Linked DNA regions of Arabidopsis thaliana. Changing the gene in region 1 together with any one later gene gives a genetic interaction. Each region holds a gene or a part of one and is shown on either strand. Other genes may lie near its edges. The genes, in order: MYB30 and BRI1.

Region 1 (4,745 bases):
ATGATTCATATCCTTACACTTGAATGCGTTATGTGAAATAATATATACTAGTAAAAGAAAATACCAAATCTATTACAATATATTATAAAGTATACATCTCCCATTTTTGTGGCCGTCGAATTTTCGTATTACATAATTACATTCAATAAAAATTCGGATTTGCAACTTGGTACTAAAATATTATGGCAAGGAGTGATAATTCAATGTAATGATGAACTTGTAAAAAAAAAATTAAAAAAATTTCAAATCCAAAAGATACGAATCTAACCTGTAAACAAAACAAAATTACAAAGGATTACAAACTTGGTTCGACTCTCGAAATTAAGTAGCAAATTCTTGTACCTCATTTCAATTTCACGGTACAAATGTTATTTTTCTTTGAATATAATTTAATATTTCTTTAAAAAATATATCTATATTTTTAATGGATAAAAATTACTTCTTAGTAAATAAAAATAATACAAATGAAAACAGTAAGATATCTACTTACCGTTTTACTAATGGTTAAACAGAAAACGGGACATTGTACGTGGAAAAAAAACATACTTAAGCAGTTTTGTTTATGATTAAAGAAAGACCATGCATTTTCAAAGTGGTTATGTAGACAAAAACCTTTTCGAGTTTCATTCCATATGTTTGATTAAACAGCCTGTTTAACACAACTTTATTATTATATCTAACGTAAATCATAAACTTTCCACAAAGTGAAAATTTCACACTTGTACAAATTGTCATTCAAAATTCCTACCTATATAAATAAATTATAGCACAACATTGACAAAAGAGAAGAAATTAAAGTAGTCTCGTGTCTCTTCTTCTTCCTTTTCTTCCGGCCTCGTGAAAACCAAATTGATTTCATCCTTTTTACTTGTTGACATTTACATACATACACATGTTCACATAAATAGATATAGTTGTATATGACTTGTGTCTATCAATCCAAAATCTTCATTATCTACTATACCAAATTCTCATACAAATATCTCTTAATCTCTTTTCACCACCTACGATATTGACATATATAACGTACAATTAATTTCATCAAAACTTAATGTGGCTGTATGACTTGTGTCTATCAAATCCAAAAATCTTCATTATCTTGTATACCAAATTCTCATACAAATATCTCTATATTTCTTTTCACCACCTACGATAACGACATATGTAACGTACAATTAATTCCATCTAAAACTATGTTTACTATAAACTCAAATTGTGGTCCATTAACACTAATCGCGAACCTTACCCGAATAAAACGTTCAACATCATGTATTCATATATGTTTATGTAACGTAATACATATAAACGCATATAAATCTATATATGGAGAAGTCGCTAACATCATGAATGACGTAGACCATCATGTAGTTTGACAATGGCCAAAGACCCACTGGTTCAATCCAAAACAGCAATTTTTTCTTTTCTTCTATATCTTAAAAAAAAAAACTATTCGTTTTGATAAAAAAACAACCAAAACAGCAAATCATGACGCAGAGAAAATCTCGTTCGTCAAAAGACCCTTTCATTAATTTCTATTATTAACAAAGCCTATGCAATACACATAAATGCAATAGCCACTATTCAATTCTTAAAATTATCGTAGCAATAAATCAAAAGTGAGAGAGGGAGATATCATATCATATATCATTATCATGTTATCATGCATGTCCCCATTATTCTTTATTTTTTAATAATAACATAAACCAATAAATTATTAAACCCAATAATATTTTTTTTGTTTGTGTTATTAGGGTTTTTGAAAGAAGCAAGCCCACATTGAATGCCACGCGGTTTTGTATGGAGGGTAGAGACTTTTCCTTTTGCCACACAGCTGACTTTGGAGGCTTTACCTCCACTTTTGTAGTTAATGCTTTACACATTTTTTATATACTTTTATTTATTATCTATACAATTTGAGAGACCCAAGAGTCCAAGACCAAGAGGGGTCAGCAAATTTCTCTTTCTCCTTTTATATATATATATAGAAGAAGAAGTGGACATAGACCTTTGTCGCCAAGCTTAACCATTAGATCCATTTCAGAGCTAAGCGTACTAATTAGTGTACTAAGGGTAGTGTGACTCATTACCACCTAAAGTAGTTTCAATTTTCTTCTATTTTTCTTGGCAAAGAGTTATAGTGGGAAACAAAGGGAGTGGTTAATAAAGAATTAATTAGTTAATTAAGGGAGTTCAAGATCATAATGGTGAGGCCTCCTTGTTGTGACAAAGGAGGAGTGAAGAAAGGGCCATGGACTCCTGAAGAAGATATCATTTTAGTCACTTACATCCAAGAACATGGTCCTGGTAATTGGAGAGCTGTTCCTACCAATACTGGTATGTATAATCTTCATTCATCATCTCTCCTCTCTACCTCTCTATAGATTTGTATGTAGATATTATTTGGATTTAATCTATGAGAGTGAGAGATAGACAAGGAATCAAATTGGTTTGGATTGAAATTTGTGTTCTCCAAATTGGTTTTGATCTTCATTTGGTTCTTCTTTAGGTCTTTAAGATTGTGGAATCAGCTTAATGAAAACATATGTAGAAATTAGGGTTTTGTTTATTGACCATGAAATTAAGATCTAATGCATGAGATCTTGTTATTTATATATTTTCTCATCGGTTCTCAATATTTGTTCGTTCTTATAAATTTTCAGGGCTGCTTAGATGCAGCAAGAGTTGTAGACTTAGATGGACAAACTATTTAAGGCCAGGAATCAAAAGAGGCAATTTCACAGAACATGAAGAAAAGATGATTGTTCATCTCCAAGCCCTCTTAGGAAATAGGTAAAAAATAATAATGACTTTTCAATTTCTCTAATTTTGTCTCTTCACACATTTTCTTTCGAAAATTAGAAGATTTGTTTTGATTTTTAATAGAGAGCATTTAATATTTGGTGTAGATGGGCTGCAATTGCGTCATATCTTCCACAAAGGACAGACAATGACATTAAGAACTATTGGAACACTCATTTGAAGAAGAAACTCAACAAAGTCAATCAAGATTCTCATCAAGAACTTGACCGTTCCTCGCTCTCATCTTCACCATCGTCTTCTTCTGCTAATTCCAACTCAAACATCTCAAGAGGCCAATGGGAAAGGCGACTTCAAACCGATATCCACTTGGCGAAAAAGGCTCTCTCTGAGGCTTTATCTCCTGCCGTTGCACCAATCATTACATCTACAGTGACAACAACGTCTTCCTCTGCTGAATCAAGACGCTCTACTTCCTCAGCTAGCGGGTTTCTTAGGACGCAAGAAACATCTACAACTTATGCCTCAAGCACCGAAAATATCGCGAAATTGCTCAAAGGGTGGGTGAAAAACTCGCCGAAGACTCAAAACTCCGCGGATCAAATCGCTTCTACAGAGGTAAAAGAAGTGATCAAGAGTGATGATGGGAAGGAGTGTGCAGGGGCATTTCAGTCATTTTCTGAGTTTGATCACTCATATCAACAGGCTGGTGTTTCACCTGATCATGAGACCAAACCAGACATAACTGGATGCTGCAGTAACCAAAGTCAATGGTCTTTGTTTGAGAAGTGGTTGTTTGAGGATTCTGGTGGACAGATTGGTGATATTCTATTGGATGAAAACACTAATTTCTTCTGAAGAGTTTGCTTTAATCACATGGTTCTAATTTTAGGATCCTCATCTCTATTTTTTTTTTTGGGTTTTCCAAATTAACTCGCTTAGATTATCGTGAGATAAATCAGTAATAATTTTATTTATTTTCCCTCTTTAATTTACAATTAATGATGGGGTTGTTTTATATATGGCCCTGTGAATTCTGAAGGGGCCTGAAAAATGTCCACCCAATGATTTTAGTAGTATTGGTGTAAAATCCTATATCTATTTTTTATTTATTAAAATGTTGTTATTGCTTGATTTTTCTTTTGCTTTGTAACTTGTAAGTATGATTTACTTTTGAGATGTTAACCTAAAAGTAATTCTGTTACAAATTAAACATACACTGACAAAAAAATTACATATATATATTGGAGAATGACCAAAAAATGCTCGCTCATATCCGGATTAATTAGTCCTAATGTGTAGTAGCCTAGTAAGTGTGGGATATAGAATTAATAATCAAATACTTACAACTTGCACTTAATTGTCAATTTATTTTCCTTAAATTAACCGTTAACTCACTAAGGAAAACACTTAACATTTATTTTAGAGTGTCAAATGGCGCCGCTCAATAAATGAAATCTTAGATTTAAAGATAGCCTTACTATTGGTGAATTTGAAAGACCTACTAATAAAGAAAATAGTACTAGTAAAGAAAAATTAACGAAATATTTATTGCATGAAATAAATAGGGCCGACAAGGTTTAAAGAAACTAATTATAAAAAGATAAATATAAATTTTAAAAACGGGATGGATTGGCACTATAAATATTGAAAGTGATGAAGAATTAAAGTTTGACTTTCTTTCTTGTGACCTTGTGAGTTGTGTGACTTACATCACATAGTTACTAAGTATGAAGAAGTCAATATCGCCATTAATTTAGCTTCTCCTTTGGTTTTTAAGATATTGCCACTTGTTATGCCGATGGTAAGAAACTTAGAAAGAAAAGAAAAATGCTAAAACCGAACCGGAGATTATAGTAAATGTATGGCAGTGGTTCTACTTTGTCTTCGGACTTAGTTGTGGGTGTTTTGCATCTACAGTAAATTTGCTTGTATTATTGTTGGATTTTGGTTCGATCGGCCTAACCTATTGAATTGGGTTTGTATGC
Region 2 (6,804 bases), on another chromosome or scaffold:
ACGAGCGCTTATAAATGAGAGTGTGGGGAGGACAGTTTCGTCCCTTTTTTGGAAGTTAGAATCATTACACTATTTTGGCGTTTTGCTTGATTATGATGACATTATAGAATAAAATGTTCTATTATACGAAATTAATACATCACTAAACATACTTTTCATTCAGTTTGTATTTAAAAAGTTACTTGTACCAATATAGTATTCTATCAGGTTGTTTGTTTTTCTGTTCAATTGTACTTATACAAACCTTCCAAAAAAAGTGTTACACTTGCGATAGATAGTTACACAAATGTCATTCTCTATGATCTTCCTTCTTTATTTGAAAATGGTATCGCAGTATTATTCGCTGAAAGTTGAACCTTCAAACCAGTTACCATTGCAGACGACATTTTCTCTACAAAAGTTAAAGTGATAGTAACATATCTCGAATTTAATTGAAAAGTTTACTACTCAAGTAGTCAAGTTCCTGTTACCCAAAACTATGTGTATAAAGTGAATTTTTTGTTAATTATGTAACTATGTATACACCGGGTACAGCTGCACGTAGGGTTTGTACATAATTACGAAATATCTCTATAAAACTGCGACAGAAGGAAAAAATAATAGAATAAGGCTTTAAGAGAAGTTTGGTCTATCCGTCTATGTAAGTGCCAGAGAAAAAGAAAGCAGTTTAAAAGTGAAAGGAGGGATTAATTAGTGGGAAAAGGTTTATCGAAAACTAATAATAATACTTCTCTGATTATTAAAAAGAGATGGAATCTGCCATTAATTGACACTCATGTCCCAATCGTCTCTCACACGTACGTTCGTTTTTTTTTTTGTTTCTCTTTTGCAAAAAGCTATAGAGACAATCTCTCCTCCACTTTATTTTTAGTTTTTCTTTCAGATACAAGTGAGAGTGAACAAGAGAAGAGTGTTAATGTGAAATGTTTGTGGTTGGTGTGAAATTCATGTAAAAATATGTATGTATTACCTTAACATTAAAGTAAATTTGAACTCTTTCAAACTATCACATTGAATGCTCCAAATCTTGTTGTATATGAGTATCAATATAAAAGAAATTTAGATGCTTATACTATGTTCCATTTTTACTGAACACTACTTAACCATTAGTCCATAAATGTGGAATTAGTTAGTTGCTGGCATCTTTATATCAGAATCAAAAGTTTTGCATATTGGGTGACAGTGAGTGCATACACCAATAATTCACCGATCAAGATCCAACCAAGTAAGAAGAAAAATATAACATGAATTATCTTGATTTTTTTTTTAATAAAAATAAAAATCAATGAATATATATGCTTATTATAAAAAAAAACCCAGCACTAAACAGAAGATCAGATTAGACTTGTGTTTTAAAAATATTGAGAAGAGAATCAAGAGATAGGTGGTTGGGGGTAAAATGTATACAAATGTTACAATAAAGTCTTAAGAAGAGTTTAAAAAGGGTAAGTAGGATATGTAGCTTGCAGAAGACTTGATCCCATCCCCTAATCTCACGTTAATTAAACACCTCTCTCATGTACAGACAAAATACCTCATTTCTTTAACTTAAACTTAACAAAAGCTACTATGAGATTAAGGATTTTGTGATGCCATTATTTTATTTATTTTTAGTATCCTCTTGCATTAATTAACTTTTTTTTTATAACCACATACAATAATTAAAAGTAGTATTATTTGTTTGTATCTGTTATCGAAATTGAAATTAATATATATAATTTTTATAATAATCAGAAGAAGAGGTAACATGGCATGTGAGTGCACAGCTGTGACCACTCTTCCCTTCACCATTTGATAAATACCTTCTTCCATCTTCCTTCTTCTGTCTTTTGACTCTCTTCTCTCTCTCCTCTCTTTCTGCTTTCCTCAATCTCTCTCTTTCTATCTCTAGAGCTTCCACTTCCTCTCTAATGGTGGAACCAAAACCCTAGATTCCCCCTTTCATCTTCTCTACTTCCCACACTTTTCTCTCTCACAAACTCTTGAGAAATGAAGACTTTTTCAAGCTTCTTTCTCTCTGTAACAACTCTCTTCTTCTTCTCCTTCTTTTCTCTTTCATTTCAAGCTTCACCATCTCAGTCTTTATACAGAGAAATCCATCAGCTTATAAGCTTCAAAGACGTTCTTCCTGACAAGAATCTTCTCCCAGACTGGTCTTCCAACAAAAACCCGTGTACTTTCGATGGCGTTACTTGCAGAGACGACAAAGTTACTTCGATTGATCTCAGCTCCAAGCCTCTCAACGTCGGATTCAGTGCCGTGTCCTCGTCTCTCCTGTCTCTCACCGGATTAGAGTCTCTGTTTCTCTCAAACTCACACATCAATGGCTCCGTTTCTGGCTTCAAGTGCTCTGCTTCTTTAACCAGCTTGGATCTATCTAGAAACTCTCTTTCGGGTCCTGTAACGACTCTAACAAGCCTTGGTTCTTGCTCCGGTCTGAAGTTTCTTAACGTCTCTTCCAATACACTTGATTTTCCCGGGAAAGTTTCAGGTGGGTTGAAGCTAAACAGCTTGGAAGTTCTGGATCTTTCTGCGAATTCAATCTCCGGTGCTAACGTCGTTGGTTGGGTTCTCTCCGATGGGTGTGGAGAGTTGAAACATTTAGCGATTAGCGGAAACAAAATCAGTGGAGACGTCGATGTTTCTCGCTGCGTGAATCTCGAGTTTCTCGATGTTTCCTCCAACAATTTCTCCACTGGGATTCCTTTCCTCGGAGATTGCTCTGCTCTGCAACATCTTGACATCTCCGGGAACAAATTATCCGGCGATTTCTCCCGTGCTATCTCTACTTGCACAGAGCTCAAGTTGTTGAACATCTCTAGTAACCAATTCGTCGGACCAATCCCTCCGCTACCGCTTAAAAGTCTCCAATACCTCTCTCTGGCCGAGAACAAATTCACCGGCGAGATCCCTGACTTTCTCTCCGGCGCGTGTGATACACTCACTGGTCTCGATCTCTCTGGAAATCATTTCTACGGTGCGGTTCCTCCATTCTTCGGTTCATGTTCTCTTCTCGAATCACTCGCGTTGTCGAGTAACAACTTCTCTGGCGAGTTACCGATGGATACGTTGTTGAAGATGAGAGGACTCAAAGTACTTGATCTGTCTTTCAACGAGTTTTCCGGCGAATTACCGGAATCTCTGACGAATCTATCCGCTTCGTTGCTAACGTTAGATCTCAGCTCCAACAATTTCTCCGGTCCGATTCTCCCAAATCTCTGCCAGAACCCTAAAAACACTCTGCAGGAGCTTTACCTTCAGAACAATGGCTTCACCGGGAAGATTCCACCGACTTTAAGCAACTGTTCTGAGCTGGTTTCGCTTCACTTGAGCTTCAATTACCTCTCCGGGACAATCCCTTCGAGCTTAGGCTCTCTATCGAAGCTTCGAGATCTGAAACTATGGCTGAATATGTTAGAAGGAGAGATCCCTCAGGAGCTCATGTATGTCAAGACCTTAGAGACTCTGATCCTCGACTTCAACGATTTAACCGGTGAAATCCCTTCCGGTTTAAGTAACTGTACCAATCTTAACTGGATTTCTCTGTCGAATAACCGGTTAACCGGTGAGATTCCGAAATGGATTGGCCGGTTAGAGAATCTCGCTATCCTCAAGCTAAGCAACAATTCATTCTCCGGGAACATTCCGGCTGAGCTCGGCGACTGCAGAAGCTTAATCTGGCTTGATCTCAACACCAATCTCTTCAATGGAACGATTCCGGCGGCGATGTTTAAACAATCCGGGAAAATCGCTGCCAATTTCATCGCCGGTAAGAGGTACGTTTATATCAAAAACGATGGGATGAAGAAAGAGTGTCATGGAGCTGGTAATTTACTTGAGTTTCAAGGAATCAGATCCGAACAATTAAACCGGCTTTCAACGAGGAACCCTTGTAATATCACTAGCAGAGTCTATGGAGGTCACACTTCGCCGACGTTTGATAACAATGGTTCGATGATGTTTCTGGACATGTCTTACAACATGTTGTCTGGATACATACCGAAGGAGATTGGTTCGATGCCTTATCTGTTTATTCTCAATTTGGGTCATAACGATATCTCTGGTTCGATTCCTGATGAGGTAGGTGATCTAAGAGGTTTAAACATTCTTGATCTTTCAAGCAATAAGCTCGATGGGAGGATTCCTCAGGCTATGTCAGCTCTTACTATGCTTACGGAAATCGATTTGTCGAATAATAATTTGTCTGGTCCGATTCCTGAGATGGGTCAGTTTGAGACTTTTCCACCGGCTAAGTTCTTGAACAATCCTGGTCTCTGTGGTTATCCTCTTCCGCGGTGTGATCCTTCAAATGCAGACGGTTATGCTCATCATCAGAGATCTCATGGAAGGAGACCAGCGTCCCTTGCTGGTAGTGTGGCGATGGGATTGTTGTTCTCTTTTGTGTGTATATTTGGGCTGATCCTTGTTGGTAGAGAGATGAGGAAGAGACGGAGAAAGAAAGAGGCGGAGTTGGAGATGTATGCGGAAGGACATGGAAACTCTGGCGATAGAACTGCTAACAACACCAATTGGAAGCTGACTGGTGTGAAAGAAGCCTTGAGTATCAATCTTGCTGCTTTCGAGAAGCCATTGCGGAAGCTCACGTTTGCGGATCTTCTTCAGGCTACCAATGGTTTCCATAATGATAGTCTGATTGGTTCTGGTGGGTTTGGAGATGTTTACAAAGCGATTTTGAAAGATGGAAGCGCGGTGGCTATCAAGAAACTGATTCATGTTAGCGGTCAAGGTGATAGAGAGTTCATGGCGGAGATGGAAACCATTGGGAAGATCAAACATCGAAATCTTGTGCCTCTTCTTGGTTATTGCAAAGTTGGAGACGAGCGGCTTCTTGTGTATGAGTTTATGAAGTATGGAAGTTTAGAAGATGTTTTGCACGACCCCAAGAAAGCTGGGGTGAAACTAAACTGGTCCACACGGCGGAAGATTGCGATAGGATCAGCTAGAGGGCTTGCTTTCCTTCACCACAACTGCAGTCCGCATATCATCCACAGAGACATGAAATCCAGTAATGTGTTGCTTGATGAGAATTTGGAAGCTCGGGTTTCAGATTTTGGCATGGCGAGGCTGATGAGTGCGATGGATACGCATTTAAGCGTCAGTACATTAGCTGGTACACCGGGTTACGTTCCTCCAGAGTATTACCAAAGTTTCAGGTGTTCAACAAAAGGAGACGTTTATAGTTACGGTGTGGTCTTACTCGAGCTACTCACGGGTAAACGGCCAACGGATTCACCGGATTTTGGAGATAACAACCTTGTTGGATGGGTGAAACAGCACGCAAAACTGCGGATTAGCGATGTGTTTGACCCCGAGCTTATGAAGGAAGATCCAGCATTAGAGATCGAACTTTTACAACATTTAAAAGTTGCGGTTGCGTGTTTGGATGATCGGGCTTGGAGACGACCGACAATGGTACAAGTCATGGCCATGTTTAAGGAGATACAAGCCGGGTCAGGGATAGATTCACAGTCAACGATCAGATCAATAGAGGATGGAGGGTTCAGTACAATAGAGATGGTTGATATGAGTATAAAAGAAGTTCCTGAAGGAAAATTATGAGAGTTAGAAACAGAGCCAAAGCAGATTCTTTGAACATCAAAATCATCTAAGGGTCAGTCCGATTTTCCTTGGGTCTATTTTTTTTGTATTTTCTACTATATGCTAAGTGTATGTATCTATGTTATTTATACATAAGACGGATGTTTTTTTTTTCGGGCTCGGTCGAATTGGGGGTGGTGGAGAATAGAACTAAGTAATAACTTTGTTAAGAATATGTAAATATACAGTTTTTTGGGGAGGGATTTGTAATGTTTTCGTTTTTAGTTCTATGGAAATTTCTACGTTGCTAACAAATTAAATTTATAATGAATCATGAAGAAACAAAGAGCCAATGTGTATTAAATTTCGACTGATCATGTTCATGTAAATGCACGTGACCTATTAATTCATTATTGTCGGAATTAATTTGGGGAATTCACACTGCACGGGAATGGGAAAGTGAGAATAGATGAGACTTAAATTTGTTTTTATGGATGTTATATTTACATGACCAATGTGGTCCCTTTTGAACTATGCTGAGTTAAACGTTTTTTTTTTTGCTATATACTTATTACTGATGAAATTGAACCGTTGGACTATATTTATATCCATCTACGTTATTTTTTCCATTACTATTGATTTTGTTATTGGCCCAAGTAGAATCAAAAGAATGGTTTTTTGATGTCATAATTTGCAATATAGAAATGGGAGGGATATGTATTGCATAATAAGATAAAGATAAACCTTTATCGAGACATAAGATTGTATGTAGATATTGAAAATGATAGGGTGATCAATGGATTTTAAAAAGTTTAAACAATTTTGCTACTAATAAATAAGAGATTGATATATAACATGGAGAAATGGACCTTCGCCTGAAATTAAAACAAAGTCTGGGTTTCATTCATGTTTCAGTGAGACACTGCGCCAACATCACCACAACAAGTCTTACACAAGGAACGTGTGCCTCACGTGCTCTTCTCTTTCTCTCTGCAGCTACGTGGACTGTCTTCGCTCCCCTCGCTCTTCGGATTTCGTGTTCCTTGCTTTCAAATTCTTTCTTCTTTAATCTTTTTGATTATTTATTTTTCTTTTCTCACTACTACCCAAACTAAAACACAAATCAAGTGTTTAGACTTTTAATAAAACTTAAAGAAAGGTTTATTTGGGTTTTATATGTTCGCTTTAGTCTCCAATACTAATATATTAAGTGGAACATTATAAATACATGCTTCTTATATACTA

The links.
Region 2: of MYB30 (region 1) and BRI1, changing one enhances a phenotype caused by changing the other (phenotypic enhancement), as found in Arabidopsis thaliana (one study listed by BioGRID).

What each region holds. Positions count from the first base shown.
Region 1 is NC_003074.8:10,909,242-10,913,986, forward strand, and holds MYB30 (myb domain protein 30), read left to right. Parts: upstream 1-1,890; 5' UTR 1,891-2,201; coding exon 2,202-2,334; exon of another isoform or gene 2,335-2,660; coding exon 2,661-2,790; intron 2,791-2,906; coding exon 2,907-3,615; 3' UTR 3,616-3,949; downstream 3,950-4,745.
Region 2 is NC_003075.7:18,322,837-18,329,640, forward strand, and holds BRI1 (Leucine-rich receptor-like protein kinase family protein), read left to right. Parts: upstream 1-1,620; 5' UTR 1,621-1,989; coding exon 1,990-5,580; 3' UTR 5,581-5,995; downstream 5,996-6,804. Other genes in the region: PLS (polari), read right to left, coding at 6,353-6,463. UniProt on the Arabidopsis thaliana protein: Receptor with a dual specificity kinase activity acting on both serine/threonine- and tyrosine-containing substrates.